4 linked regions of the Rhinolophus ferrumequinum genome follow. The protein of the gene in region 4 interacts with the protein of the main gene of each other region in a pairwise test. Links are inferred from orthologs where the notes say so. Each region holds a gene or a part of one and is shown on either strand. Other genes may lie near its edges. The genes, in order: CNNM3, TTLL10, RFX3 and FHL3.

Evidence for each region.
Region 1: the proteins of FHL3 (region 4) and CNNM3 interact in binary tests that used the Homo sapiens proteins (3 or more experiments, as listed by UniProt). The two-hybrid records come from large-scale screens. The link is inferred for Rhinolophus ferrumequinum from reciprocal best matches to the Homo sapiens genes FHL3 and CNNM3.
Region 2: the proteins of FHL3 (region 4) and TTLL10 interact in binary tests that used the Homo sapiens proteins (3 or more experiments, as listed by UniProt). The two-hybrid records come from large-scale screens. The link is inferred for Rhinolophus ferrumequinum from reciprocal best matches to the Homo sapiens genes FHL3 and TTLL10.
Region 3: the proteins of FHL3 (region 4) and RFX3 interact in binary tests that used the Homo sapiens proteins (3 or more experiments, as listed by UniProt). The two-hybrid records come from large-scale screens. The link is inferred for Rhinolophus ferrumequinum from reciprocal best matches to the Homo sapiens genes FHL3 and RFX3.

Annotation. Positions count from the first base shown.
Region 1 is NW_022680356.1:2,261,900-2,268,975, reverse strand, and holds the start of CNNM3 (metal transporter CNNM3), read right to left. Parts: upstream 3,007-7,076; 5' UTR 2,992-3,006; coding exon 1,668-2,991; intron 1-1,667. UniProt on the Homo sapiens protein: Probable metal transporter.
Region 2 is NC_046292.1:317,770-324,599, forward strand, and holds the start of TTLL10 (inactive polyglycylase TTLL10), read left to right. Parts: upstream 1-3,819; coding exon 3,820-3,986; intron 3,987-6,830. UniProt on the Homo sapiens protein: Inactive polyglycylase.
Region 3 is NC_046295.1:32,635,375-32,643,140, forward strand, and holds the start of RFX3 (transcription factor RFX3), read left to right. Parts: upstream 1-4,757; 5' UTR 4,758-4,971; intron 4,972-7,766. UniProt on the Homo sapiens protein: Transcription factor required for ciliogenesis and islet cell differentiation during endocrine pancreas development. Essential for the differentiation of nodal monocilia and left-right asymmetry specification during embryogenesis.
Region 4 is NC_046292.1:26,548,417-26,555,757, reverse strand, and holds the start of FHL3 (four and a half LIM domains protein 3), read left to right. Parts: upstream 1-4,341; 5' UTR 4,342-4,554; intron 4,555-7,341. UniProt on the Homo sapiens protein: Recruited by SOX15 to FOXK1 promoters where it acts as a transcriptional coactivator of FOXK1.

The sequences.
Region 1 (7,076 bases), on a different chromosome or scaffold from region 4:
CACCCTGCCAGCCTCTCTCCTCTGCACCCCTGAATCACTGGTCTCCACACCAGTCAGTGATCATGAAACACCCTCAGGCGCCACTGTGCTCTGCTCACAGGTGTCATCCTGGTGTCAAGTCCTGCCTTCCCAGGGTCTCGAGCGGGGAGGCAGCGGGATGAAAGAACCCTTCCTCGCTGACTCCAGGCCCAGCACTGCTGGCCCCCAGGACACCACTGCCCAGAACACTACAGTGGCCCACAGGGAGTATTTACCACTAAGAGGCTCTGTCAGGCCCCCACCCAGTGCTCCCCGCCCCAAAGAGGGGCTGCATGGCCACTTTCTGGGGAGGCAGCGGGGTGCAGCCAACAGATTCTCTAGCAGAGCGGTCAGAGCTGCCCCCAAAGCAGCCTCCCAGGTAATCAGAGGCATAGGAGTTCAAGTACTGTAGCCAGGTGACAATCTTCCTTAGGCAAGCCTCTAGGAGAGAGGAGATGATGCACGTGAGCGCCCACTAGTGTCTGCTTTACACAGCGCTAATGCAGGACTCACAAGGTCACAAGGCCCAGACTCCCCAACTGTCAGGGACTCACAGAACACCTCCCAGGGGGGGCCTGGAGCCAGGACACCTCCTAGGTGCCAGGAAGCTCAAGGGCTTTGCTGGCTTCCTGGTCTCACATTATGCATCCTCCAGCCTCAAGGCCACCCAGAATCCTGGGGTGTCCCCTGTGCTCATCCTGCAGGAGTTCGGATTTGAGAAGCACAGATGGCTGGCGGTCAAGGAGCTCTGGGAGCACAGCCACACCGGGCCATGAGAAGACTGCACAGGAAACCACACCTTCACATTTGGAGGGTGCAACCCTAGAGTTGCTGGGATAAACCAAGGTCAAAGGTGAGAATGCAAATGTGGAGTTAAGGGAGAATGTGAGAGACCTTACTCAGGGTTAGAAAAGGGGGAAGTTAAAAAAAAAAAAAAAAAAGACAGCTGAAGGGAAGACTGAATTAGCGCCCATGAAGTTGCTTTTGGTTAAATTCAAATCCAAGTGGCAGTTTGTTCCACACCCCCAGAAAGGTATTTTTGAATCACTCTTTTCTGCAGTCAGGAAGCAGCAGCCCATCAGCAACCTTAACAATGACGACCTGAAAACATCACAGGCACCCCTCATTTTACTGTACTTCACAGGTGTTGCGTTTTCTAGAAATTAAAGGCAAGACCCTCCACCAGCAAACAGATTAGGACTCGCTTTTTTGTTGCGCTCTGGAACCGAACCCTCACCACTTCTGAGGTGCACTTGTATGTGTGGGCACGTAAGTTTCCAGGGACCTGGGGACTACACTCTTTTCTACCTTCTTTTAGTTTCTATCCAAGAGCTTCGACCTGCTACAAAACCCACAAAAATGACCCGGAGCGGGAAAGAGCTGGGGGTTAGAGCCTAGTGGACATACCTCCCCAGATTGGGGGCCTACCAGGTAAAGGGGGATTTTGCTGTCTTTAGCACTGTGTCCCTCTCTCAAGGACAACTTTTCAATATTTCAAAAGGTCATTCAGAGCTGCAAGGCCGTCATCGTCTTTAAAACGGGACTTGCAGGTCTCACTGCTCTCCAGAGGCTTCCATAATCCCCGACCCCTTTTATAGGGGGTGCGGGGCACAAGCTTTCGAGTCCCCTCCGCGATTCCCAGACGTTACCTCGCTTGAACTCCTCCAGGACGGCGTCCAGCTTGGTGTCGTTGAAGACGAAGTGCACCGGGTGGTTGTAGAAGCGGGTGATGGTGCTGAGCGGCGTGCAGTCGTCGGGGTCCACAAAGGCCAAGTCCTTCAGGTAGAGCATGTCCACGATGTTGGAGCGCTCCTCTTCGTAAACGGGTATGCGCGTGTGGCCGCTCTGCATGATGCTGGCCAGGACGCCGAAGTCCAGCACGGCGCGGGCGTCCAGCATGAAGCAATCCTCAAGCGGCGTGAGCACGTCTTCCACCGTCCGGCACCGTAGCACGCCCTTGCTGAGGTCGCTGTAGGGGTCGCCACCACCTCGCGCCAGCTCCAGCACGCGCTCGCGCAGCCGCCCGGGCCGCGCCGCCAGTTCCAGCAGCTGCCCGACCGGCAAGGCCACCGGCAGGGTGAGTAGCACCGCCAGGCGGCTGAGCGCCAGCGCGCGCGGAGCCAGAGCCAGCGTCCAGCGCCCGCTTACGGCGGCCGGCAGCACTTCGGCCACCAGGAACGCGAGCCCCGCGCTGCCCAGCACCGCGGGCACGGCGCGCTGGCCGGCCGCGCGGTAGAGCAGCACCGCCAGCGCCGCCTGAGCCACGCTGGCCAACAGCAGCAGCGCGCCCAGGGCGCAGCCCGCCCAGCGCCGCGCCGGCTCCAGGCGCCGCGCCGCCGCGCGCTCCGCCTCCGAGCCGCTTTCGCGCAGCACCTGTACCTCGGCCGGCGCCAGCGCCAGCGCGCTCAGCTGCAGGCCCCGTGCCAGCGCCGCCAGCGCCAGCAGCCCCGCCGCCCCCAGGCCCAGAACCCAGGGCGGCGCCGCCTCCTCCGCCGTCTCGCTGCTCAGCTCCGCGCGCACGGCCTCGGCGCGCAGGCGCAGCAGCGCGCGCCATTCGCCTGCGGGGGCCGCCGCCTTCCCGGTAGCCGTGCCGCCAGGCTCCCCGCGCACCGCCAGCAGCGCCGACTGTGGGCGCTCAGCCTCGGCGCGCAGGCGCAACAGCGCGCGCCACTCGCCCGTCGGGGCCGTAGCCTCACCGGGCACCACAGCCGGCCCGCCCTCGGGGCAACCCGCCCCCTCGGGGGCCGCCCAGGACCAGGAGCTGTTGGCGAAGCCCGAGCCGAAGAGGCGCAGGCGGAAGGTGGCCTCCGGCGCGGCCGGCACCTCCCCTCCGCGCGCCCACGCCGCGCCCGCGGCCCCGGCCTGCTCCAGGCAGACGCCCAGCACTCGCGGGCCCGGCGCCGCCTCCCCGGCGGCGTGGCCCAGGCAGAGCGCAGCCAGCAGCCAGCCCAGCCGCCCCGCCGCCGCCGCCATCGCCCGCTGCCCCCTCTCGGCCTCTGCGCAGCCTACCTCCCCCCTCCTCCGGCCAATCGGCGCCAGACTCGCGCCTCCTCCGACCAATCAGCGCCGGCCTCGTGCCCCGTTCGCCAATGGGCGGTGCGTGGGGGCGGGCCCAGGGGGCGGGCGAGGCTGCGCCTGGGCGTAAACAAGCGGCGCGGGTCGGGACCGGCCGGGGGCGGGGCTGACAGCCCACGGGGTGGACTAGGGGCTCCGGGTGAGGTGTGGCCACCCACTACACAGGCCGGACTCCAGCTCTGGGAGATCCCTGGCTGGAACGCGGGGCGGGCAGCAGTAGGCGGAGGTCTCGGTGAGGGAGACGTGCGGCTTTCTGAGGTAGGGCCCCGGAACCGCCGACCTGAAGGCGGGGAAGGCCGAAGGAAGAACCGGGACTGGGCCCCGGGAAGCTAAGCTTCCGTAAGATGCATGTTGATGGAGCCCGACCCTGCTGTAGGTCCGGGGACGGAGACGCAGCCCTTGGGCGAAAATAAGGAAACCTTGGACCCTCGCCTCTACTTCATGTTATTATTTTCCAGGAGAAAAACGAAGCGTGTGACTCGACGAGGATGTTGAGGTCCGACGCGACCTAACACCCCCGTCCCATCCTCGCCACTCGTTTCAGGAATGCCTGGATCTGTCACTGCAGTTCTACTTCTTCCTTGGTCCCAGGCTCCCTGGGGAAATGACCTATAACTCACTTTGTTGGGAAAACCTTTGTACGGACACTTGCAGCAGTTGGATCACACTCAGAAAACCATCAATACCCGAAGACCTAAAGAACCCAGCGCAGGGCAGCTTCTCAGGAGTGCCCTCCTGTTAACAGTAAGAGGCCTCACAGGACTCCTCCGACTGCTTCCTCCCGCCTGTGCCATTCTTGCCCGCCCCCTGGTTAGTCACAGCATCAGTGGACATACTTGCCACTTGATCTTCAAGTCCCTCGTTGACTCTCCCTAGACCATTTGCCTTACTGGTTATTTGGTTCAAGGTATTTCCATGTTTTATTTAAATATTTGAGTTTTAAATGCATAGCTATTGTGGCTTCATTGGCTGATTGCTGCTTCTCTCTCAAGTCTGCAAACGTCACTTCCTGGAGCTGGTCTTCCTCGACTCTTGACTCAGTGGGTCAAGTTTGTGGGAGCTGTGTGCTCTTACCTAGTAGCATGTAGTGCTTATTTTATAGACCCATTCATTCATTCATTCATTCAACAGGTATTTCCTGCATTGAGTGCCTGCAGTGTATCAGGTCCTGTTCTAGTGCTGGGATTTATGTGGAAATAAGAAAGTCCCTGCCCTCCTAGAACTTAGGTTCTAGTATGGGGACAACAGGAAATGTACAAATCGTGTTTTAATATCTGGCAGTTAGGATTGGGGCCGAGCTGTTTTATGGAGGGTGACAAGGAAGGCTTCTCTAAGGAGGTTACATGTGCATAGAGGCCTAGAAGGAGCAGGAGGTGAGCCTCACAAAGACCTGGGGAAAGAGTGTTCCTGGTAGAGGTAACAGCAAATCCAGGGGTCCCTGTGTGACTTATCTTCCTAGGAGGTCTGCCTCATTAGACTGAGGGGTTGCTGGCACCTGGTGTGGAACAGGTGGATGGATGAAATTTACTCTTCCCACCTATACACAAGTTTTTGCATGTAATTCCTTTTATCTGGAATGTCCTTTCTGCCGACCCAAGTAAGTGCCTCTCTTTAAACATTCTTCCCGATTTGCCTGCTGTGAAGACAGCTGGCTTGAGTCGCTGAGTCCTTGACACACTCAGTCACATGCGTACCTATGAGCACTGCAGTAGTGGACGCAGTGAGGTCACTCAGCCTTGGGCAGGCTCTTCCGGGATGAGCTCTCCCACTTCAAGACCACGGCCAGCCCATGGGTGGACGAAAAGGCAACTGCATGTTACCAAACAATGTGATCCTGTTTTTTGGATCAGGCTCCTTTCTCCTTCAGCCCCCAGGGGAGAGAGAAGGGCCGATTTGCTCATTCCAACTGCCCATCCAGGACCCACAGGCAGGAGACCCTGAGGTGTCCCTCTCATGACGGGATTCCCAATTGTGGCCGCTGAGCACCTTTATCATGCATGTCCAACAGCTCCTGTGGCAACAGCCTTGGTTATGTATGTGCTGTAAATTACATTTCTGCCTCTTTGTTTACTGCTAAACAGCTCCTATGGAATACTTGCCACTTGTCCTGACACAGGTGACAGCCACTTCTAGCTCTATGAGAGGTACCAAATGTTGATGGAACTCAAATAGGTAAACCATAGACTCACCAAGATTTCATGTTTCATTTTTTTATTACCAATCAAAAAATAAATTCCATATATTGTTTAGCAAATATTATCATTTTGTGACAAAAGACACAAGAGTCGAACAACAAAACTCCCCGAGAGTCAAACTCATAACAATGCCAAAATAAATCACAAAAATATACAAATTAAAATCTTACGCAAAATAAATAAGAGTCATTTGCTATGGTGGCTGTGACTTGCCTACCCCTTAGGAGGCCATCTGCACGGTTCTCCCTCACACGGGCAGACGTGCAGGGACGGGCCCATTCCAAGGTAGGGCTCAGCCCAGGAACCAGAGGTTGGAATAGGAAGTGAAAAATTGCACTGGGAGGAAGAAGTCATGGACCAATAATATCTGGAAGTCATTACAACCCTCTGCAAGAAGAGATTATAAATGGGGAAGGGAAGGGCAGGGCAAGGGCGGAGGGCGCGCTGTTGATAGGAATTGTGTGTGCAGAGAGGTAGCTGTGGAAGTGTGTGTGCCCGCTCCTTGCACTTCACACACTCGGTTCAGGCCAATGCACTTGGCCCCGCCTGGCACTCAGGTCTCAGGAACACCACTTTGCAAGCTCCCGTGTGCACTCGGGAAGCAAGCTGCTCCTGTAGAAAACTAAGGGGTCCCCCCAACAGGAAACAGGTCTGGTGTCTGAGAACCCATGGGTGTCATCACCTTCTCTCCAGACCTTTAGGAATAAATTCTGTGACTGGCCAGGGGCAGGCATACTTGGTGAAAGACATTTCCTGGTCCCAAGACTTAGGGTTCTCCAGGCACCTGAAGCGCAGAGCACTTGGCTGAGGAAGGAGTGAACAGACAATACTCAGGCCCGAGGCCTGCAGAGCCCCCCTCACCTGATCTTGGGCCCCAGCAACTGTGCCACCCAACAGAAGGGCCAACACGGTCCTTGGTCCCACAGCCTCCCAGGGATGGGGAGCCTAGAGCTAGCTGTGTGGCAGGGCCTGACTCGGCCCCAGGGAAAGGCGCTGGGGCCAGAGTTCCTGTGGGCGTGGAGCTCTGGGGGTCCAGTACCACCAGCTTCGGCACAGGCCAGGATGAAGCCTCATTGTAGGGTTACGACATGGGGGACACAGGGCTGCCAGTAGTATGCCTTCGAGGTGGGAATCTTTCCTGGGTTCTGGACGTGTGTGAACAGGCAGGTAAGCCTGACCAGGGGACAGGGCATGCAGAACCTGCTGACGCTGGCTTCCTACATGTCCTCAGTCCTCAGCCCCCAAGAGGCCTTGGGGTTTGGGATTAGAAGTAGGGAGTCTGGAAAGCAGGGTTCCTGGGTCACTGTCTGAGACTAGACTTTGGTTGTGGGCTGGGGAGGGTATGGTATCACTTGCTAACAATGCACGACCAGATTCCCTCCTAGAACTGAAAGGAGTATCGCAGCCAAGTCACCTCAAATGGAGATGCTGTCCCCACCCAGGGGAAAACCTTTGGTAAAAGTGAGAGCAGCCTAGGGAGCAGGGGCGAGCAATCTGAAAGGTGGGAGACCCTGCCTAACATTTTGGGTCAGCCCCATTACAAGGGGAGACTTGTCCAAAGGGGCAGATATGAGGCGAACCAATGGGGACAGGGGTGAGAGTCTCACTGGCCCCAACTCACCAGGAGGGCCCATCAGCAGTTCTTGGAAATTCCTTGATCTAGCGAGTGACAGGAGCACGCACACTCTTCTGCCGCTGGGAGCATCTGTCCCTGGTCACAGCTGCCCAGACCCCTCGGTCTCAGTGACGTCAAGACCAGCCTCCATGCACGTGTCCCAGTTGTTCTCA
Region 2 (6,830 bases), about 26 Mb from region 4:
TGGCAGGAGGCCACGGAGAAGGTGCTTTGGACAGCTGTCCCCTGTAAAGCGGGCGTGGGAGCCTGGCGCTGGGAGCTGGGCCAGGGGCCTGTGCTGGCATAGGATGTGTCCTGACGCCTGGGCCTCTGCGTGCTGATGGTGCGATAAAAGGCGCCAGGGAGCCCCATCGTACTGGGGCTGTGTTCCGGAAAGACGCTGGAGGCTGGCTCTCAGCGAGGCCTGAGATGGTGGGTGGCCTCTCGGCCTGGCTGGGCAGACCTCCCAGCTTATCAATGGCCCCCGACCCACTGCTAGCCCAACATTGGGGTGCAGTGCAGCCACCTGCCCCAGAGCTCAGGAATAGTGGTGGGCAGGGGTAGCGTGTGCCCACCCGGAGCCCCTGGGGACTCTGCTGCCCTCTCCGGGTGGCACCAGCCCCAGGCCTTGCTCACCTTGGAGGGGGCCCTGGGGGTTGAGGTAAGTCCTGGCCTGGACCGCAGCCACATGGACTCAGGGGCCAGGAAGGGGCCTGGCCCCTGGGCCACAGCCGTGCCTCTACCCCATCCCAAGCTCAGCGGCAGGTGGCCATTGGCTGCACTGGGTTGGGCCCCCAGGTCTGGCCCTGGGCTGGTCAGTGCTTATCCAGGACTCATGCCTCGGATTCCAGTGAGGACACCCTGCTCGGCCCTCGTGCTGCCCGGGGCCAAGGAGGCCTGGCAGGGGTTGTGTTCTTGGTCCAGCCCTGCCCTCTGGGAGCTGGGCAGGTGCGGACTCTGAGAGCTGGGGCCGCCCACCGGTCCAGATCTGCTCCTATGCAGTCCGGGTCCTGGGACTCAGGGCCTCAGAGCCTGACCCACAGTCCTCCAGAGAACTGCCAGCCAGAGAGTGACAAGCCTGGTCCCAGCAAGGGCCACTCGCCTGCAAAAGACAGTCCCCAAATTCCCTGGTACAAATATGAACCACACAGCCACCTTCACATCAGCAAAAGCCCGTCACAGACCCTAGAGCTGCTGCTGTTGGTTTGTGAGCAGAAGGCGGGACAGGGCATCACTGAGGAGGCCCCCCAGTCCTGGGGGGCCTGAGGGGGACCCCCAGCAGGGTCCCCTTGGCCTCCCTGGAGTGTTAGCCCACAGGGGGGACCCAGGGTCCCCAGGGGCAGCACCAAAGGGGCCCAGTTCCTGCTCCTGGCTGGCGTGTGATGACCAACCAGCCTCCCTGTGGCTCATCTGTGAAGTCAGCGTGGCCACCACCTGTCCGGGACGTTGGCTGTCTGACCTTAGTATGGCGGGATAAAATCACGACACACAGCTCCGAAGCCACGTCCGTGAGATGTGATTATAAAGGGGAGATGCCATGGTCTTGGGTGGAAAGAGCACAGCTGGTTTTTAACCTAATATTCATATATGTACATTCTATTTACTTACATCGAGGCACAGCAGAAAGTTTGTAGGGAGCGCACCAAAGTGTCAGCAGTGGTCATGGTAGACGAGGGCCAGCCCTGCTGGTGTTCTTCACACCCACCTGACAGTGGGCGGCCAGGGGTCTGCCTCCCACCACCCGCTCACTGCCAACCCCTTTGGTAAGCGTCTACTTCCCAGAGATGGTGCCGCCGACTGCCAGCTTTCAGGAGAGCTCTCAAATGGAGCTGGGGATTGTCGCAGATTTCAGCTCATGGGCTCCTCTCAGCCACATTTCATTCCAGAAGGAAAAGCCTCTTTTGTCAGCTCCCCGTGCTGACCTGTGCTGACCTGACGAGGCATCACAAGTGTCCCTCCCCTTCTGGGGAGAAAGGACAGGGGTGGCTGGTCTACCGTGAGCTGCAGCCTTTGGTCTTCGGAGGAGGCTACAGAAACAGCTCACCTGAGTGTGTGCTGTGGGCAAGGCCTGCTCCATAGCCAGAGCCAAGCTAATCTGCTCAGGACCTCCTGGCCCCCACGCCTGTTCCTGGGGACTTGAAGGGGCCTGGTGCCTGGGGGCAGGGGCACCTGCCTACCTGGTTTGGCCCTGCAGCTACCCCAGGCTCCCTGAACCTGTGATAGCCTGGGACCTGGACAGGCTTCTCCAGACACTGCCTTCCCAGCCCAGGGCCAGACGGTGTCCTCAGCGGCCAAAGGACCTGGTCCTCAGTCACCCCCCTGGTGGCGTGTGTATGGAAGATGCATGCCCTTGCACACGCACACAGACACACGTGCACACGCTCACATGTGTCAGGCACACACCTCGGCAGACCTGCTCCGAGGTGGTCCTCCCCAGCTGCCTGGCAGTGTCTCCACCACCATACGCTGTTGGACGTCGGGAAGTCCATCCCCCGATGTCCCTGGCCTTCCCGTGGCTGAAAGAGCCTCATGGTTGCGCTGCCTGTTCTACTCGGGACATCTGAGATGTCCCTGCAAGCAGAGCAGGACGGAAAACCGGAGTGGGCAGGGGGTCTCCAGGTGGAGACCAGTGGGGGGTGCCGCTCCAACACCCGCCCTGCTCTCAGGCCCCAGGGCCTCCAGATCACTGGCCTCTGACCTGGTGCTTGCCCGGGGCACAGACAACACCTCTGATCCCTTGGCTGTCTGGGGACGTGCTTGTGGTTCCCGCACCATGTCCCCCAACCCTCTCTGGCCCAGACCGCTCGTCATTCCATGTCTTCTCTTGGCCTTCGTTCGCTGCCCTGTCACTCTTGCCAAGGATGGGGGCATCTCATCCTCTGCCAACTCCTAACATTTGTGGTTTCCCCCACACATTGATCCTTTGCCCTGGCCAGCTGGGAAGACCCCACACTCCCTGCCCCTGCCCCATGGCCAGCCATACCTACCCCCGGGACATAATTGTTCCCTATATCATACCGGCTCCCTGCACCTGCCCACCGCTGGCTCTCACCCCCGCTTTCCAATACCTGCCCCAAGGCCATTGTCCTTGCTGGGAATACTTCCCCAAGACCCTCACCACCACCTCCTTTCCTTTGTTCAGTCCACGTGTTGCCCCCAGACAAAAGCCTCCCATCACCCGAGACCTGGTCCGTGCCTTTGCTGTTGTAGCCTCAGTGCCCAGTACCGACTTGCTCCTGGTCAGAGCTCACGGACTGTTCAGGGGATGGTGGGTTCCCTCTCTGCTCCTGTCCCCAGGGTGGTCAGAGCCTGGGAAGGGAACGTGTCAGTTCCTCTGTGTCCTCTATGTGGGGTGGGAAGCCCCTCCTGTCATGTCTCCCACTGGAAAAGATGAGACAAGCTCCCTGCTCCCCTTCATGTGATGATTTGTTTTCTGAAATGCTGTCTCTGTTCCCTTTGCCTGCATTCTCCTTCCTGAGAATGGTGTAAGCATTTAAGATGCCATTAGAATTCACAACACGCTAACCTATAGTCACTACAAGGACTCCACTGGTGGTCTCTCAAGTTCCAGGGGGCCTTCTGATGCCTAGGAGGTCAGGGGAGGGACTTGTGTGGTGCTCACAGCTGTCCATGGGGGGCAGAGGGTGGCCTTCCAATGTGTTTGGAGGCCTGGTGTTCAGTTGTGCTGTCTTGAGCCTTCCCTGCCTCTTGTGCTTTGCCACCTTCCTTCCTGCAGGTGAGCAAAGGCTAAGGGGAGGCCAGGGCAGGGGATGGTTGGGTAGTGCTGTGGGAAGGTGGGCCTGGGCATCTGGGACCTGCCGTGAAGGGGAGGTAGGGTTTGGTTCTTAATCAAATGCAATAATGTATTAAAAACAATACACAGTGATCAAATGGGCTTTGTCATTGGAATGCAAGCCTGGTTATTAAAGGAGAAAATGTGATCTCCTCGCTTGATGTGGAAAAAGCTTTTAATAAATTTCAAAACCTATTTGTGACTTTACAAACAGCTCTTGGCAAACTAGCAATGGGCGGGAAGATCACTAACGTGCTCAAGTTCCAGAGAAACCTCAAAGTGAACTTTACACTAAGTGGAGAAGCGGTGGTGCGTTGTCTTCAGGAGCTGAATCAGGTCAGGGCCGCCCCCACATCATGGCTACTGCCTGACACCGTATCGGAGGTCCTGGCCAACAGGTAAGGGAAGAAAACTAAAGGAGGGGCGTAAGGCTTGTAAGAGGAGAGAGAAAAAAACTGATGTTACTTGCCAAAAGATATGATCATCTGCCTAGAAAAACCGATAGAATTGATGGGCAAACTGTTAGAATAAGAGTCCAATAACATTGCTGAATAACAGACCAACCTGCAAAAATCAATAGTATTATCTTGAAGACATTGTGCTGAGCAAAATAAACCAGACACAGAAGGACAAACACTGTGATCCCACGTAAAAAAGGCATATAAGAGGAGTCAAACATAAAGACAGAAAGTATCTGGTGGTGCCAGGGGCTGCGGAGGAGGATGAGTGGGTGTTTAATGGGGACAGGTCCAGTTTGGGAGGATGAGAAATTCCAGAGGTGATGTTTGCACAACAGCGTGAAAGCCACTTAATGTCACTGAACTGTACTTAGAAATAGTTTAAATGGTAAATTTTATGTTATATTTCTCAATGAAACATCAATAGTATTGTAAGGATGCCGCACAAAGGTCATATATTGTATGAATCCATTTATACGAAATATCCACGACAGGTAAATCCACAGAAACGGAAAGCAGGTTGGTGGGTGCCGGAGGGCTGGGGGTGGGGGCAGGGACTGACTACATAATGCAGACGGGCTTTTTTTGGGGGTGATGAAAAGGTTCTGGAACCAGATACAGGTGGTGGTTGCACAACATTGTGCATGTATAAAGGCCACTGGAACGTAGTTTAAATGGTTGATTTTATGCCATGTGAATTTCACCTCAATTTTAAAAAATGAAAACAAAATTAATAGTCTTGCTTGATACCCACAATAAACAATTAGAAAAAAATAATTCACGACAGCAAGGGACACAATGAAGTGTGTAGGATTTAACTCAAGCGAGAAGCCACCCAGACTGTGTCGGGGAGCTGTGGAGGCTGACCATGTTCCCGGGGGGGATGGAGGTGGGGGCTGTGTACTACACAGCGACCAGTTCTCCCCCGTTAACCCGTGAGGTCCGTGTGATCCTATTCAACATGACCGTTAGAGCTTTTCAGGAACTAGATAGACTTCCTCTAGAATTTAGGAAAGAAAAAGTCGTGAATAACTAAGTGAGCCTTAAAAAGAAGTGTGTGTGTGGCGGTGGGGTGGGGGGAGCTAGCTGTCCAGATATCAGGGCCTCATAGCTCATAGCAAAGCTCCACAGCTACACAGAGCAAGCAGGTCTGGGAAAACGCCTTGATGGCCAGGGGAGCGGGAGGCGTAGGCACAGACTTTTCCATTCGAGCGTATTTGATGTACAATGACAGCACCAACCAAGTGACCAGGATTGGACCAGGCTCCTGATATGGAGCCACCCATGGGCCTGGTGGCCTGGTAGTTGGCAGGGAAGGAGACCCCAAACAAACCCTGCAACACACAGACCACCTGGCAAAAAATGGTGCATTTGATGGTGTCAAAAACAGGGCTTCCCGGCCCACGGCCATGACAGGACCTGAGAAGACAGCTGCCCTTTCCTTACCTGTGGTGCTGCTTCCCGGGGTTTCAGCTACACGTGGCCAGCTGTGGTCTGACCGTCTGGGTCCCCAACCAGCGACACCATCTGCTCCTGACACCTAGCCCACATCGTCACGGCTCGGCCACCCAGGGTCACCGGAGCAGAAGGCCAACAGAGAACGATGCCCGCGTCACTCACCTCACACATCAAACAGGCCCCGCGTCACCTCACATCATCACCAGCAGGCTGAGTGCAGCACAGTGAGACGTTTTGAGTGACAGGGACAAAAGGACCGTTACCCAGTGTGTGGGGAGCAAGGAGGGCGGCGCAGGGTTAAGAAAAGATCGTAGCCATGAATAGAGTGTAAGCGGGACCAAGGGACTCCAGCCTCAAGGACTGAGGCCTATACAGTACCTTTATTAGTTAGGTGGGGAAGTAAAGGAGATAAAGCTTGTCAATCTCAAGATCTGTGAATCCCACACATCATAATAGGAAACTGATTCAAGCCAATCACCGTTGCCTGCAGGCAGCTGGACCATAAGTCTCAGGATGTCTGTACTTCCCCGAGGGACAAAACCTTTATGCATATGAATAGATGGAGAGCACACCATTGAATCTCTTCCCCTGCAGGTTGTGGGAAGGAATGCAGCCACAGAGGCAGAGGCTCTCCTTAGCGAGGGGGGGTGCTGTGCCCACCTCTATCCACCCCATGGATTCTCCTGTGGGTCCCCACGGGCCTCCACCTGTCTTAGGTTGCCTTCCACGTGGTAAGTCATACCCGTCATTGGCTGACCAGCATCTTTCTGGGGCCAAACAGGGAGATACAAAGTACAAGCACAAAGGTGAAGCAAAGTCCCTGAAAGGATCCGTCTCACAGACTTTCCTTGCTTTAGGGGCAGGTACGAGGAGACAGACGGGTAGGCTGCTGCTTGGCAACAACTCAGGATATACAAGGAGTTCTGCCACTTAGCAGGAAGAGGACAGAAACTCCAAAACAAAGTGAGGAAACGAGCAAAGGCCGTGAACAAGAACGTTCCGGAAGAGGAGCCCCTGAGCCCGAGGGCCTCGGATGGGTCATGGCCAAAGCCGTCAGCAGCTACAGAAGTGCATGGATCACAGGACAGGCCCGTCCCCACCAGAGCACAGAGCATGTAGGCCGGGCGCGGATGGTGCCACTGGGCTGGGGACATGGACTGCCAGGCTGGGGACGTCCCGTACAGCCGTGCGTGGGGCCACAGGGGTCCTGGCCTGCAGCCTTGCCCTGGTTTGGCCTGTGTCCTGTTTGTCACTCACCTCTGTGACACCATGCAAGTGGGTACCCACTGCCACACGTGTTCCCAGCGTGAGCCTGGGCAAGAGACC
Region 3 (7,766 bases), on a different chromosome or scaffold from region 4:
TCAATGATTTTTATTTTTTCTTTATATTAGTAGTTGATAAAAATATTTAGAAGGGTAAAAAAAATTCAGTTATATGCTTTAACAATGGCATATTAGTCAAAAAAAATTTAAATGTAGGCTTAATAATGTATTGTGATGGTGGGGGGAGGGAGGATAAGATGTATGTATTCCAGGGGGAATATACTTTTAATATGTTTAAAATAGGAATAATGGCCCGACAGGAACTTAGGAGATGTTTTTTCCAGACTGTACATTAAAGGGGAAAAAAATTAAAGAGAGAGTCAACTTAAGAATTTCTTTGGCAGTTGAAGACTATGGCTCAAATAAAATCATTTTTGATAAATATTTTTGATATTAATTGAATAAAAATAAAAAGCTTTTCAGCACATATTGACATTAATTGCTGATTAAATTATAAGAGTTAACCTCTAATAGAGTTCAAGTTCATTGCCTGGTAAAAGTCTACTTGGGGTTCACAAAATTCTTAAGAAATGAAATGCTGGTAGAAGTATCTATTAACTTTATTTATATTAGTATTTCCTCCACCAAAAAAAAACCTCCTAATTTCACAGACGTATTACATAAACGCATGTTTAGCATTTTGAAACAATTCACTGATGTGCCATCTCTGAAAATTCATGAAAATTACAATTGTAGAATTGAGATCATTCAAGTCTTTTAATTCTTAATTTATAAATATTTCCTTCCACCTCCAATCTTAACTGTTAGAGAGTTTACATAACTTTCTCAACCTGGTCAGAGTTAGCACCAAAATCTCTCAAGTACTCCTAATGTTATCTCAGAAGAAAGTTATTCTCGATAATCATCTAGAGTTCACTCAAAGCAATTTCTTTAGTTTCTAGATGTATTCAGGATTAGAAAGTAGCAGGACTCATTTCTTTGAGCAGCAAATCAACATTACCTACCGTATGGTCACACTTGACACATATTTGAAAATTTATCAAGGATAATCTTACTACCTATTACTTATCATCTTTCTGTGCTGGGGTAAAAAAATAATTCCAAGTTATATATAAGGATGGACATACTTAGGAATGCTGAGTAAATACTTGGTTTGTATTACTTAAATAAAACACAATTAGAAAGACAAATCTACGAAAAAAAACAAAGAAAACAAAACCTATAATGTTTTCAAAACCAAAATATACTTTGGGTGGGTATGGGTAAAGTTGGGGGTGCTCCAGAGAAGAGTGGCAAATTATGTATAGTTTGAATTGCCTTGGCCTCTATCACTCCCTATTATTATTGACAATTATCATATATCCACAGAATTTCAGATCTACGGCATTTAATAATCCAGTAGTCTAATTCCCCAGTGCTCTGCATATCTTAAGTAGTCAATAAATGGTTGAAATGAAACCATTCATTTCACGAGAACTAAAACTCTAGGTGTCTCTTAATTTAAGAAAATTGGGTATTATAATGAAGTATACAATTTTTAAGTAGATGTGACTTCTGCTTTATAATAAGGATTCCCCACAAATTCAGTGGTAAGCTGCCACAGACCAATACATTAATTTTCAAAACTCTCATACATACAATTTTTTGGAAGTGAACCATCACATATCAGTATTTTATCTTTTCATAGGCAGCTTTTCCTTCTACAAGCATTAATGTCAGTCCTTGAATATTCGGTAGATATCAACAGGAGAAAATAACCTAATAGATAATATTGAAAAGGAAACTTCCCCATGAGAATGTACTAATTTATAAAGTATATAATCTATACCTAAATAATCAGGGCTTTGTATTTTTCAAATGATTCAGATACAAATCTGTTAACTGTCTAATATCTCTGAGCTGAGAGCAAAAACAATCCAAGTTCAAAGGACATAACATTTTAAATTCATAGATACTGACTTTGAGCATTTCACAGACAGGAACTATGTCTGGTCCATTTTAGGTACTCAACAAATAATTACTGCATTAACAGTTTATCGAATTTGTCAAGAACTGTTAAGATACTTTTTGGTTAGATACCTTTTATCATTGAGCCCAGTGTGTAATGCACTATAACAGATAATAAATGTTAGACAATGCTCTTTTCTGTGACTTAACAAATAATTTATTTCTGAAATATATACACAACATATATGAAGATGCAACTATACAGCTTAAAAATGACGAAAAAGGAGATCCAATCAGAACTGACTATAGGCAAACAGATTTCTAGGTCCTTTCATAACTATTTATATAGCAGAAAACAATACATGCATATATATATAATCCAACATGTTTTTGAATCTATAGCTTGAACTGGTGGCTTATTTGATTCAGTGTGGTAGTAACATTGAAAAATTCATATTAATCTCACTCTGGTTAGAAGTTCTAAATCTGAACTTTTAAATAACTTACTTAAGGAAATTTATTCCTAAGGAAAAAGCCAAATCAGAAAGTAGGTTAAAAAAGTCTCTAAGCAGCTTAAAACTGATATTATAATGTCCTTGCACAAAGGTTGCAAACTTTTTCTAAAGGAGAGTTCCTCAAAGTACCTGTTTATACTCTTGAGACAGTTTTGCTCAAGCTTCATTATGTGGTTTTCTTGCCTGTAGATTAAAAGCAGCAAATTAAAAGGGTGGGGAGGCTAACAGAACTGTTCACTGACAGCAGTTAAGAAGCAACAGCTGACAGTGAGGGAAGGGGCAGGCTAACCACAACAGACAATAGCACTAAAAAAGCAAAGCTATTCTGAGCTGTGTAGTGTGAGCAAACAGTTTCGTACACCATTATAGGAATATAATAAAACGAATATTCATAATGACTACCAGTTTTCATACAGCTGGAATGCATACCTTATTTCCCATGTGTATGTTGCAATTTTTATTCTAAATTTGAAGAATTGAACTGCTGTTGGTCACATTATCATTTGTCTCAGACTAGAAGGGCTACTAGTACCGTGGTGAGTCATGCAACCTTTCAGCTTTAGCACTGTGCTCACCACTGTTCACTATTACATTGTAACACATTATAAGAACCTCTATAACTCATTATAAGATTACCAAAGGCAACATCACTTTTTTAAATCTATTAATAGTGGATTCCAAACTACCCTTCCCTAATATCCCATGACACAGAGCCCTAAGAGAAAATCACTGACTTTTAAGACTGTGCCTGTGTTCTCTAAAATATTATGTACCTAATAGTGTTGAGGATTAAATGAGATAATGTATGTAAAACACTGCGGCAGTGTTAAGACCTTAGTAATGGTCGCTATTATTATTTTAGCACTGTGAATTTATGTAGGCCCAAACCCCTTATTTTGCAGGTGCAAAAATTAAGCCTCAAGAATAGGACGGACTTCCTATGGCTCTACTTCTAAGGTTATTGTCTTGGATAAGCAGCTTAGCTGCCTGTGTTGGAGGTTTGGGGTACTGGCTGGGCCTGGGGGCATGTGCCTGCAGGAGTCCTGTCTGCAGAGAACTGGACGACTATATTTGAACCGTTAAGTATCAGAGGCTGTGCAATACCAAGGGCAGCGGTTCGAGATGGCCAGTAGTGTGGTAACAACATCCACTACAGAAGGAAGCCTGTTCGTCTGTCTCAATACAGCAGGTTGTCAAGTAACCGGGGCATAGGGCCAGGAAAGCAATAGAATCGGGGGTTGAGCTCAAATCCCGGTTCGGTCAACTTTAAAGAGGGACGAGCACTTTACTTAAGGGCTGAAGATAGCGCGGAACTAGAAACTAACTGGGTGCTACCTCGGAAGGTGTAAGTTACCGCACCCCTCAACGCCTTTCGCGGAGGTGGACCGCCACGCGTTTCCACATCGTCCCGGCAGGGCAGTTTTTCGCTGCTTTCTAGCACTTACTCCCCGCCCCATAGGTACGGAGTGATAACCTCGCTTTTCCTTCTGGAATGAGGGCTGGATGAGTTCAGACCTTTCTCTCTGCGCGCCACGCAGCGGCGGGACCGCGGGAGGCCGGCGCGCTGCCCACACGCGCGGCTCATCTGCTCTAAGATGGCGACGATGGCCGCTCGCTCACGCCTCGCCGCCCGCTCTCCCCGGAATTTTGGCCTCAGGAGGCGGGAGCGGGCCAGGGCGCAGAAAGCAGGAGGGCGAAAACGGCTCGGACCCTCCAGTGCAGCGCAGGCTACGGAGCCCTAACGGGCCAAGGCATGCTATAAGGCGGATACAACTAGGAACACCGCCGTAGCCTGAGAAACGAAGGGGGATTAAAAAAAAAAAAAAAAGGAAAAAAAGAAAAAGGGAAAAAAAATAAATAAAAGCGGCGGCACATCCGGGACCATCCGATAGCCCCGCCCCGGAAGTGACACTTTAGCAAAGGGGCGGAGGGCGCACTTGAAAGTGGGCCCTTCCCCAGCTGTTGCTGGTCTGCCCAGAGAAGTGTTTGGAATCGACCCCACCACCTTCCTTCCGTGGGTTAGCCATTACCTTCTCGCGACTCGGGGGCTCCTTTGCTAAACGCTGGCTGCTGGGACTGGCAGCTCTCGGTTCACAAAACGTACCCCTCGCACCACGCCCCTCAACTCCCCGTCCAACCTGGCCAGCGCGGGTAATAGCGTACCTTTGAGAGAACTGGGGTGACCCTAACTCCTGCCAAACCCGTGAGCTTCTATTCGGAGGCCTTACTCGGAACCCCGGCCTTGTGCCCCCACCAGCCCGGGATCTGGGGTTGTCAGTCATGGTGCTGAGCCCGCCCCTTCCGGCGACTCTCGGGGCCCGCCTCCTCCCCTTTTCCCTCCCCCACCCCTCCCCTTGCGAGTGTCTCCCTCTCCCTTTCGCTCTCTCTCTCCCTCTCTCTCTCTTTTGTGAGTTATAGCAACCGTTGCCTTGTGAATCAAGCGCCATAGTCACCGTAGTCCTGGCGACTGTTACCCATCAACAACAACTACTCCTCTCCTCCTCCTCCTCCTCCTCTTCCTCCTCCTCCTCCCCACCACCACCATCTCCATCACCCACCAACAACACCACAATAATCCACAGCCAAGGTGAATATTCTTCGGTCTCTACATGTGTGTGGGAGCGTGTGGATGCGTGTGAACGCGTGTGTCCGTGCGTGTGTGTCCGTGTGTGCGAGCCGACTGTGGCTGTGCTGGGGTCTCACTCCTGACACCGGGGGCTGCCGCTGCGGCGCCGCAGCCGAGGGGCTCCGTCCCCCGGGCTTGTTTACAATGGACCGTGCGCGCCGCGGCTGGGTCGGGGGTGTGGGCGCCGCGCAGCCCGCCCGCCGGCCGGCCCGGGCCCTCTGCGGCCGCGCTTCAGGGATGGAGCGGGAGCTCTGGGGGCTGCGAGATGAGCGGGAGAGGGAGCCACAGTTTTCCGTTGCGGATGGTGGAGCTCTCCCCTTGGTCTGATCTGAAGAAGAGAGTCAGGTGAAGAGAGAAGGGTTTTTTTCTTTAATTTAATTCTTTTTCAAAGCTGCTTGTTTCCTGCTTCTTTCAAAACCGAAATAGACAACAATGTGCCGGGCGGGGGGGTACCCAAGAGGTGGTGTTTTGTTGTTGTTGTTCACTTGTGGGGCCTTGTTAAGGGTTTTGTTATTTTTATCCTCGTACAACGGTGAACTTTTCCCACCGCCTATTCCCTTTATTTTTGCCTTGTGCTAAATGGGCTGCCTTTTTTTTTTTTTTTTTTTTTTACCATCATCAGCTGCACGGATTTCTTTTTTCTTTTAAAACTGTTTTCTTTGTGCTGCAAACAGTCTTAATATCCATTCAGCACTCTCCCCCCACCCTTTCTTCTCCCCCCACACCCCTTGCACACTGAAACCTGGGGCCTCTACGCTGGACTCCGCTGTACTGGAAAAGATTTTTTTTTAAAGTCTCTCTCCTCTCTTTTTTTGGGGTGTGTGTGTGTGTGTGTGTGTGTGTGTGCGTGCGCGTGTGCGCGCGCGCTTGTGATTTAAACCGGATGCAGGGCATCAGTGATACTTGGGTTAGTAGTTATTGACAGTGCTTTATCCTTCATGAGGAGATGGGAGGGGTAGTAGTGAGGTTCCATTTCACTTTGATGAACCTCCTTCCCCACAGTGGAGTGTTAACAATTTTCATTGTGGTTGTAAGACTTTGTGTGTGATAAACAGGGAAAGGACATGAGGAAGCTTTGTGAGAACTCAGTTTACAGTGTTATTTGTGACAGTTATGGTACTTTAAAGAGTTTTTTTTTTTCTCCATCTTTTTCTCTGTTCGCTTTTCTTTGAGAGTTGAAATTGAAGTCAAGTTGTTCATAAAGAATGTATGAAGCTTCTCAACTTGAAACGTGTGTATATTTCACTTTCTTTATGGTTGTTAAGATCTAGGCATGTGTGTACTTAACATACTCTTCTTTATTTTTGGTTTTCTTTGGGCAGTGACTTAAACATGGTGAGAGGAGAGAACTTTCTCCTTTTTAAGTCTCTTTTTAAAAAAAATCTATTTTTTTCTCTGTACATTTGAATACTTATCAGTCCTCAAGTAGTATGGCTGTTGGTGAGAGGTAACGCAGTTTTCCAGATCCTGTAAATGTGTTCATTTTTCTGCCTAACGTTTAATTAATAGATTATTATCAGTAAAGAGTTTTGATAATGAATGTGTGCTAAAACAAATATAGTATTATATTTGCACATACTGAAGTTTCCAATTTGGAATTTTAAAATACTTATTTAAATAATCTTCTTTCTAACAGTAAACATATTGATTTACCTGACAGAGCACTGTGAATAATGTAACAGTATTAATTATTCTTGAGATTGTCAAAGAGTAGGTTGGGTAATTGGAATACTATTAAGGCCAATACTTTGTAAAATAAGAGTTGTGTTTTGTTTTTGTTTTTTCTTTATTAACTCTCCCTTTTTCAATACATTTTCTTGTGATTGCTATTTTAAATGAGGATGATAGTTCTGAAAGAAGTCTTTCTCAGAGCATCCGAATTCCTTTATATTCACCCCCTCCCCAACTTGGCTTCCATGCAAATCTCTAATACTAACTTGTTATTTTTTTTTTCTTCTGTTCAGATAAGTGTCAAATGCCTGAACTCTTTTGGATGGTGAAGCTCCTGAGTCCTATAAACTCTCTCTGAAGTTAATAGGAGTTTTGCTGTCTTGAGACAGTTTCAGACCTTATGCCATTTACATAATGGGTTTTCAGCTGAATAGATTATATGCTATAATGTTATGGTTTAATATTTTTATTTGCAGTGTCCAAGAACTTTTTTGAGGCATTTCACTCATGAAAATGACCTCAGATTCAATAATTTAGACGTTCATTCACAAGTTGATTTGAAAGCAGAACTTAATTTGAATTCTATTATCCTTTTTTAAAAGCATATAGGTGATATAAAAGTTGCTGTTAGAGATGCTTTGGGCTCAAGTATGTCAATATCAATCATATGGATTGAGAAAATAACCAGAAATATTAGCAAATTACAATTTTTTAAGTTTAACAGAAGGGTAAATAGTTAGCACTTCGTTTATTCTTTCTGTGATATTTTTCCTGTAAGGGAGTATATTGTGTATTGCTATTCTTCTGTGTTCTCACTTTTTTTTTTTTTTGTTCTCACTTTTTAGACTAATAGAAATCTCTGAAAGTGAATGACCACTCTTTAAAACTAAAACTGTTAAATAGGAGTCACTTGTGGCTTGTTTTTAGTAGCTGAATATCTGTGATTCGTTGTATTGTCATAACGACTATCTCAGTCTTTTAGATTATTTTGCCTGTGAATTGAATTAACCGGTATCAGCATATTTTTGTAGTATATTTATGTGTGTAATATAGTAAACTAAAATGTATTTCTAAAATGCATCATT
Region 4 (7,341 bases):
CGTTGGCACCTGGGAACACGTGGCTGGCACTGCCGTAGGCCGAGCTGGGCGTGGAGTGTGCGCATGCGCAGTTACCTAGGGCTCTACGCTTGTATTTACGCGGTGTATTTAAAACTAGGAGCTGTGTGGATTTTGTGTGTACAGGAAAAGAGCACTCTGTAGAGAGTGCGGACCTTAAAACCATGTCTGGCTCTGCCATTCATTGGCTGCGTGGCTTTTGACAGGTCGCTTGATTTTAATAAGCATCGTTTTTCTCAGCCATAAAACAAAGATAATAGCATGCGCTGCTTGCCTCAAAGAGCCATCAAGGCACTCACAGCTGAATGGAGGAGTGATATCATGGCAGTAGTTATAAAGTTCTGAGCCTTACACCCTCAAGTGAATGGCTGGCTGACAGCATGAGTGTCAGAGGCAGTGCCATGTAAATGATTAGGACCATAAACCATGGAGGTGTGTTCTGATCCTAACTGCTACCAGCCAAGAAAAAGTTAGCTTCACTCGACCTTGGTCTCCTCCTCTGTGAAACTGAGGTAGTAATACAGAATTATTGTGAGGATTAAATGAAATACAGTAATACCTCGGTTTTCGAACGTCTCCATTGACGAACATTTCCCCGTTGAGGAACATTTCCGTTTACGAACGCCGTAAACCGGAAGTAAATGCTTCAGTTTTTTAACACACCTCGGAAGTAGAACATGTCACGCGGCGTCCACTGAGTGCAAGATCCTGAGGCCTAGCTGTCGGCTGTTTTCAAACGTTTCAGAACTCGAATGGTCTTCCGGAACAGATCACATTCGAAAACCGAGGTACCGCTGTAACATGTTTAAAATGCTGTGTTCACCCCTTAGCAAGTTCTCAATTTTGAGCTATTACTGTTATTACTAAACCTAAATGTGAGGATTGAGAGAGGGTTGGGCACTGCAGAGCACTCCAGAAGCATTGGGTTTAGTTTCCACCATGTAAAGCTAGATTTCAGCTGTAATTACATCCATTTCTCACGACAGGGCTCACTCTTCCTGCTGAGGAGCTCTGGGGAAATCCTCTCTTCATTCCCCAGAAGTGGAAGTCCAATAGACCAGTGGGCATGATAAAACCTAAAAGTAGCTGAGATCTGAAGTGTGAAAAGTTTTTTTCTGAGTCTGAGGCTTGCCCAACTAGGGCCACATGCATTAACAAAATTCCATCTCATTTGTTACTTAACCATTGAAAGACAAGGCCCTTTATGATCTGGCCTATGCCCACTTTTCCAGCCTCCTCTTGATTCAGAAGCCTAGCCATTAGTCAGAGTAACCTGGTGGCAGCCCCAGTCACTCCTGCTGCTTCCCTTAAAGAAGGCGTTGAGTAATAGGTACACCCAGGAGAAGACAGCTCTGCACACTGGAAGGGATAAAGAAACCTGGAATCCGCCTGCAGGGGCTCTAGGCAGTCCAAAGGGTAAGGGTGAGCAATATACCCAAAGAAGGAAGGAAATTTTCTCACTGGGGGAAGGAGGCTTGTGGTTACAAGCATCAGAGAGTGATTCAGTACTCAAGAGGAAACCACGAGAGGCCTGTCAGTCATCACCCGAGGCCACCTTCTGAAAGCCCTTCCAAGATGAGAGAACAGCTGGGAGATCCTGAGCAAGCCCCCTTCCACCACAAGATAAGGGTGTGTGGGGACCACCTGGGTGGGTAAAGGGACAACCAGATCCCACTCACCCAAGGCTGGTCGTCCAGGACTAAGGCTCTGCTTCCAGCCCCAGCTCAGACACACCTGTTCCTCAGAGATAGGGAGGGAGGGGGACTGATAGAGAACAGGAACAGGGAGTCCATGTGGCTGATCCCTAGACCTCCCTGGGGCATGTCCTCCTGGGTCAACAGAAATAGAGCGGGCAGGGAAATATGAGCCCACTGGAGAGCTAGAAATGTGGAGGAGAACCAGAGGGGCACTTACAGTGTAGGCATGAGAAACAACAATGATAAACAGCCCCTGGCCTACAACAGTCCCTCCCCCAGGCTGGGCCAAATCAGAAGTCGCTTAACTGGCCTCCAGACTCCAAGTTCATCATCAGCAGAACCTTAACACTTGACTGTGAAAGGGAATGTGTGTGGGTGTCCGGGGTGGGGAAGAGGTCCCATATATTAAATACCTACTGTGTGCTCTCATCCAATCCTCACATGAATGCTATGAGACAAGAGTCAACCACTCAACAGATGAGGAGCCTGAGGCTTAAAGAGGTTAAATGATTACAGAGGCTTAGAACCTAACAGTTAAGCTTCTTTTTTTTTTTTAGCCTAAGGAGCTTTGATATTTGATTGGATTTGAATCCAGGCTTTGGCATTATTAGCTGTGTCACCCTTGGCGGGTTACTTACTCTCTCTGTCCCCTATTTCCCCATCTTTAAAACAGGGATAAAAATACATATTTCATAAAGTTGCTGGAAAATTAAGTGCACTAATATATGTAAAGTGCTTAGGTACTAGTACAAAGTTAAGAATTCAGGAAAGATGGACTCTTGTTAAGGCTTTTCAGCAGAAATTCAAGCTGTGAGTAAAAAATTAGAGACCCCCAACTATACCTTTGATCCACCTTCCTCACTCACTCATAACTCCTCCCTTTCTGAAAGCTGCTCACCTGTGCCCTCCCCATCACAGCAGAACCCTTTTGGCCTCTAACTTCAGCTACCGTGTTTCCCCGAAAAGAAGACCTAATAGGAAAATAAACCTTAGCATGATTTGTCAGGATGACATCCCCTGAACATAAGCCCTAATGCGTCTTTTGGAGCAAAAATTAATGTAAGACCCGATCTTATTTTCGGGGAAAATGGCAGGCAGTCTTCCCTGAACCTCCTGGGGCTGGGAGTCTCCTACACCTGCAAGACAAATCCCAGAGAAAGGGCCCACCCATGGTCTGACTGCTCACTCCCTGGATTCCAGATAACAGATGCCTATGGTCCAAACTGGGAGGAAAGGGGGTATCCAAACTGAAGCAGTGTCATTCATTCATTCATTCATTCATCAGATATTTATTATCCGAACATTAGAGTAGGTATTGGAAAAGTGGTGGCGAACAGAAAGGACCCATTTCCTGCCCTCTTGACACAGGAACAACAATAATAAACAAGCAATTAGTTAATTTTGAGAGGAAATCTGGTCTGGAGGGTGACTTGGGACCCAGGAAGGCAGGCATGTGATTCAGAGATGGGAGAAGAGGATACTAAGGAATCCCAGCCTGGAAGGGAAAGAGTCTCTGCTCTGAGAGTTTGGCTGGACCCAGCCTGGGGGATGGGAGAGGCTCTGAATCTCTACTCTAGATGCCGAAGGTTATTTCCAGGGTTGGTTTGTTGTTTCATGTTTTGCAAACAGCACAGCAGAGCCTCCTCCTTCCTCCCCCCACCCTTCCAGATCAAGGCTATTTATTCCTAGTGACAATCCTGAGGATCCCAGGGGGGCTGGCCTCAAGGACCTAGAGGGGCCTTGTGTCCCTGGCAGGCGCCAGTCCTCCCTCCCGGGCACAGGGAGGAAGCCAGAGAGTTGGAAACTGTAGAGGTGGGGGAGGAGGGGTTCCCTCTACTTCCCTGCCCTGTGCCTCAACCGCGCACACTCCTCACCCCGCTCTCCGAGAAGCCCAAAAATCATGGGGCCAAGGAGTAGAATCCCCCCTGGGGCCTCAAAGGTCAAAACTATTCCTGGGCACTGTGGATACCTAAACAGGACTTCGCGGTCCCAGGATGCACCTGGAGGTGAGGTGGTGACTACTTCTGTTTTTGCCAATCGGAGTTGTGGAATAAAGCCCTTTGAAGGTCAAGGCGCTACTGCAGGGCGGAGGTGGGGTCCTCTCTTCACTCCTCTTTCCAGAGAACACCTAGGTCCCCATCGACAGGGCCGTGATGGCAGAGTCAAAACCACCCTCTCTTCCAGGCTAGATTAAGGCCCCTTTCACAAACCCGGGCTGAGTGTGACCCCCTGGGGGTAAATTGGGAGGAGGGGGACACAAAGAGGGCATGAAGACTCTTGGTCCCCAAAAGGACCTTGATCAGCTAGCTGGGTCCTGTACCCCTTAACTGAGACTGAATACAGCAGACTCCCGCTTGAGGCTGGGGGGGTGGGGGTGGGGAGGAGAGTGGAGGGAGCAGGGAGCGAGGGCAGCAGAAGCGGCAAGGAAGGGACAGGGGCGGGGTCCTGGCCGCCCAGGAAGGTTGAGAGAGCCAGGTTAGGCTGGGCCGGAGGAGGGGGACTGGGGCCCCAGTCTAAAAGGGAGGTGGGGGCGGGGTCTGCCCCCCGCCTCGGGGACTAGGGGCCGGGGGCGGGTTCCGCACCCCGCGGGCAGGGGCGGCCGGGGGCGGGGTCCGGGCGGGGCGGGCCCCCGCGCACACTTCCTCGGGAGGGTTGGGGCCGCGCTCTCAATCGCCCACACGGTCCGGTTGCAGCCGGCAGCTTCGCCGGCAGCTCGCTCGGCCTCCGCGCGGCCCGGCCAGCAGGTAGGAGCCGCCGAGGGACGCGGGCCCGGCTTCCCGGCCCCCCTCACCCTCACCCACGACGAACGCCGCTCCCCGCTCCGGCCGCCGGCTTCGAGGTGAGCTCTCTGCCGAGCGCGGCTCGGATCCCAGCTCCTGGCCCCCGCCCTCCGGCTGGGAAGGGAGCGGAGGCGACCCGCCCCCTGCCCCCGCCTGGGTCCGGCTGCGGGCGCCTAGGGCGCCGATCTCGGGAGATCGCTGAGCCCGGGTCTGCACTGCAACCGGTACTCCGGCGGGGCGGGCGCTACTGTGAGAGTTGGGCGAGGGAGGGGGCCAAGTTTGAAATAGAAAAGTCCGAGTCGAGAGAAAGACCGGAGGGTTCTGAGAAACTGAGTCTCCCAGAAAGCCGGGTGGAGCAAGAGACCGAGACTGAGACCGGGACACGAACGACAGGCTTACACAGGAGGCTGCAGTTATCTAAAACAGGGACTCCACTTGGGCGTAGAGACTCTGAGAGACTGACCGGAGGCATAGGGACGGAGGCAGGTTTTGTGGAGCATTTTAAGAAAAGGCATACAATGACCCTAGTGAACACGCCATAGCGCCCTTTCCAGGACCTTGGGCAAGTGAGGGTCCCAGAAGCCTGAGCTTCCTTAGCCTTGTGGTGAATCAGCTTCTGTGAGGCCTACAGAGACATTCAGAGACTGGAGACAGAGACACTCAGGCATAGAGAGAGGCTAAGAGGTAGAGAATTGGGGTGGGGTGGGGTGGAGACCAAGGCATTCCTCCCCATAGACACACTAAGAGAGCAGACGTGGGTGTTCAGAGGTAGAAATCCACGGAGGGAGGCTGCTTGGAGATAGCCAGTCATAGAGACAGAGACCCACAACATACAGACAGCTGCTGAAGTGTGCAGAGACAGGCACAGGGTGAGTGGAACAGAGCTAGTCACCGAGAGACTGAGATTTAATGGAGGTGCCCTGACAGCTTCCAAGACAGACCCTGAGAGACTCAGGCCCAGAAGATTGGGAAGCAAGGATGTGGGAAAACACAAACTCTGGGCTGAGTCCCCATGACGAGAGGAGCTGAGACAGTAAGACTGAGCTCAAGAAGGAGCCCCAGGCATACACCAAGACAGCCCCAATTTATTTTTAAACTCATCTTGGATGGGCTGCTTCAGCCCTGGGGGACCCAGGGTGAATGAACTATTCCTCTCGTCCCCAGAACAGCTGCTGGATCCTGCTTCCCACCCCCTCCCCCTGCCCTAAATTGCTGTGACTCCCAGGCCCCGTGGGGGGGAGGGGAGAGTTTGGGGGGGGGCGGTTGGTGCCTGTGATAGCAGGGGTGGGTGTGGGGGGAGTTCAGTTTCTCCCCTTTAGTCTCCTGTCAACTCCAGGGAGCTGGAGAAGGGGTCTGTTCAGATCCTGACTCACAGCTGTGGGACCTGGCCAGGGTTCTCCTGGACATTGGGGGCTGCAGGGGGGCAAAAGGGTTGAGTAGTTGGCATGGGTAATTGGAAAGGCTTCTGGGTGTCTTCCAGTCTCAGGGCTGGCAGCTGGGGCGAAGAGCTGGGTTCCTGCGCTACTGATGTCATCCAGCATCTCATGTCCTCCTGCTCCTAAAGTGCTGACCACCCCCTCCACCATCCCTGCAGCATTTCCAGGGAAAGAGAAACAGGAAAGGGCCCCTGGGCTCTCTGCTACCTGAATGACCTTGAGCATACCCCTACCCTGTCCCTGGCCTCTGTGCTCAGCTGTAAAATGGAGATGACACACTATCCCGCCTGCCTTTTGTGAGATCTGCTGAGATGGTGGGTGGGTGTGCACTTTGTGAGAGGCACAGCAGCATGCAGGTGTGTGCACCTGTGTACCTGTGTGAGGGGTGTCAGTTATGCTGACTGGAGTCGGGCTAGCCTGATAGCCTGAGCCTCGTTGGTGCCCCCAGCAGAACAAGGGGTTCCTCTTTGTTCTCTCCCTGGGCCTACACTGAGAAGGTCCAGGTCAAATTCTGGGTGCTCCCCGACCCAGGCCTGGCTGAGTACCTGTTGTCTGAACCCAGAATGAGGGAGGGGCTAAGAAGAACACTAATAGGCTCCCTTTACTGACTGCTAACTAACTAACTGCTGGGTGCTTTCTAAGTATCTTAACATTTAAGCCCAACAACAACCACCTCAGGAGGTAGGAGATAGTGTTAGATGGGAAAATAGTCTCAGAGAGCTTACGTGACTTGCCCAAGATCACCCAGGCTTATATTTCACAGCTCAAGCCCTTGCACACCACATGCATGCCACAGCCATTTATCCAGCCATTCGGAGCTCCAGGAGGTTCACTGAGGTGCCAGCTGTATGTCTGGGTCAGGTGTAGGGGTGTGTGTGTGTGTGTTGGTGGGGGCAAGGGCTGAGAGCCATCTGGCAGCCTGAGCAGTCTCCCCTGCACTCTCCTACCAGCCATGAAGGAACACAAGACTGGCTCCCTCAGTTCCCCCAGCCCTGCCAGGGAAAGGGGGAGGCGGAGAATGGGCAGAGACAGGTGGGCCTTGATAGTGCCCTTCATTCTGTCCTCACTAGAGCCCAGCTGGACAGACTAGGGCATTCTGGGAAGGAAACAGAAGTCATGCCCATACCCTATTTGGGGTGCCCCTGTCTCAGAGTGGTGACTGCCTTCCAGGGGGCGGGCCCTAGGGTAGCCTGGGCCTGGGAAGGTGGCTGATGCTTTGGGCCAAGCCAGGAAGGAAGGAAAAGGCCCAGGGCACTCTGGGACAGAGGCATGGCCATACTCACTCCACCTGTGTGGCCCCCTGCTGCCCAGTGGCTGACAGCCCAGGCAACCCTCAGATGTTGGGCCAGAGGAAACCCAGGCCCGAGTGGTGGGGGGCAGACTGAGAAGGGGGATACCGTCCACCCTACA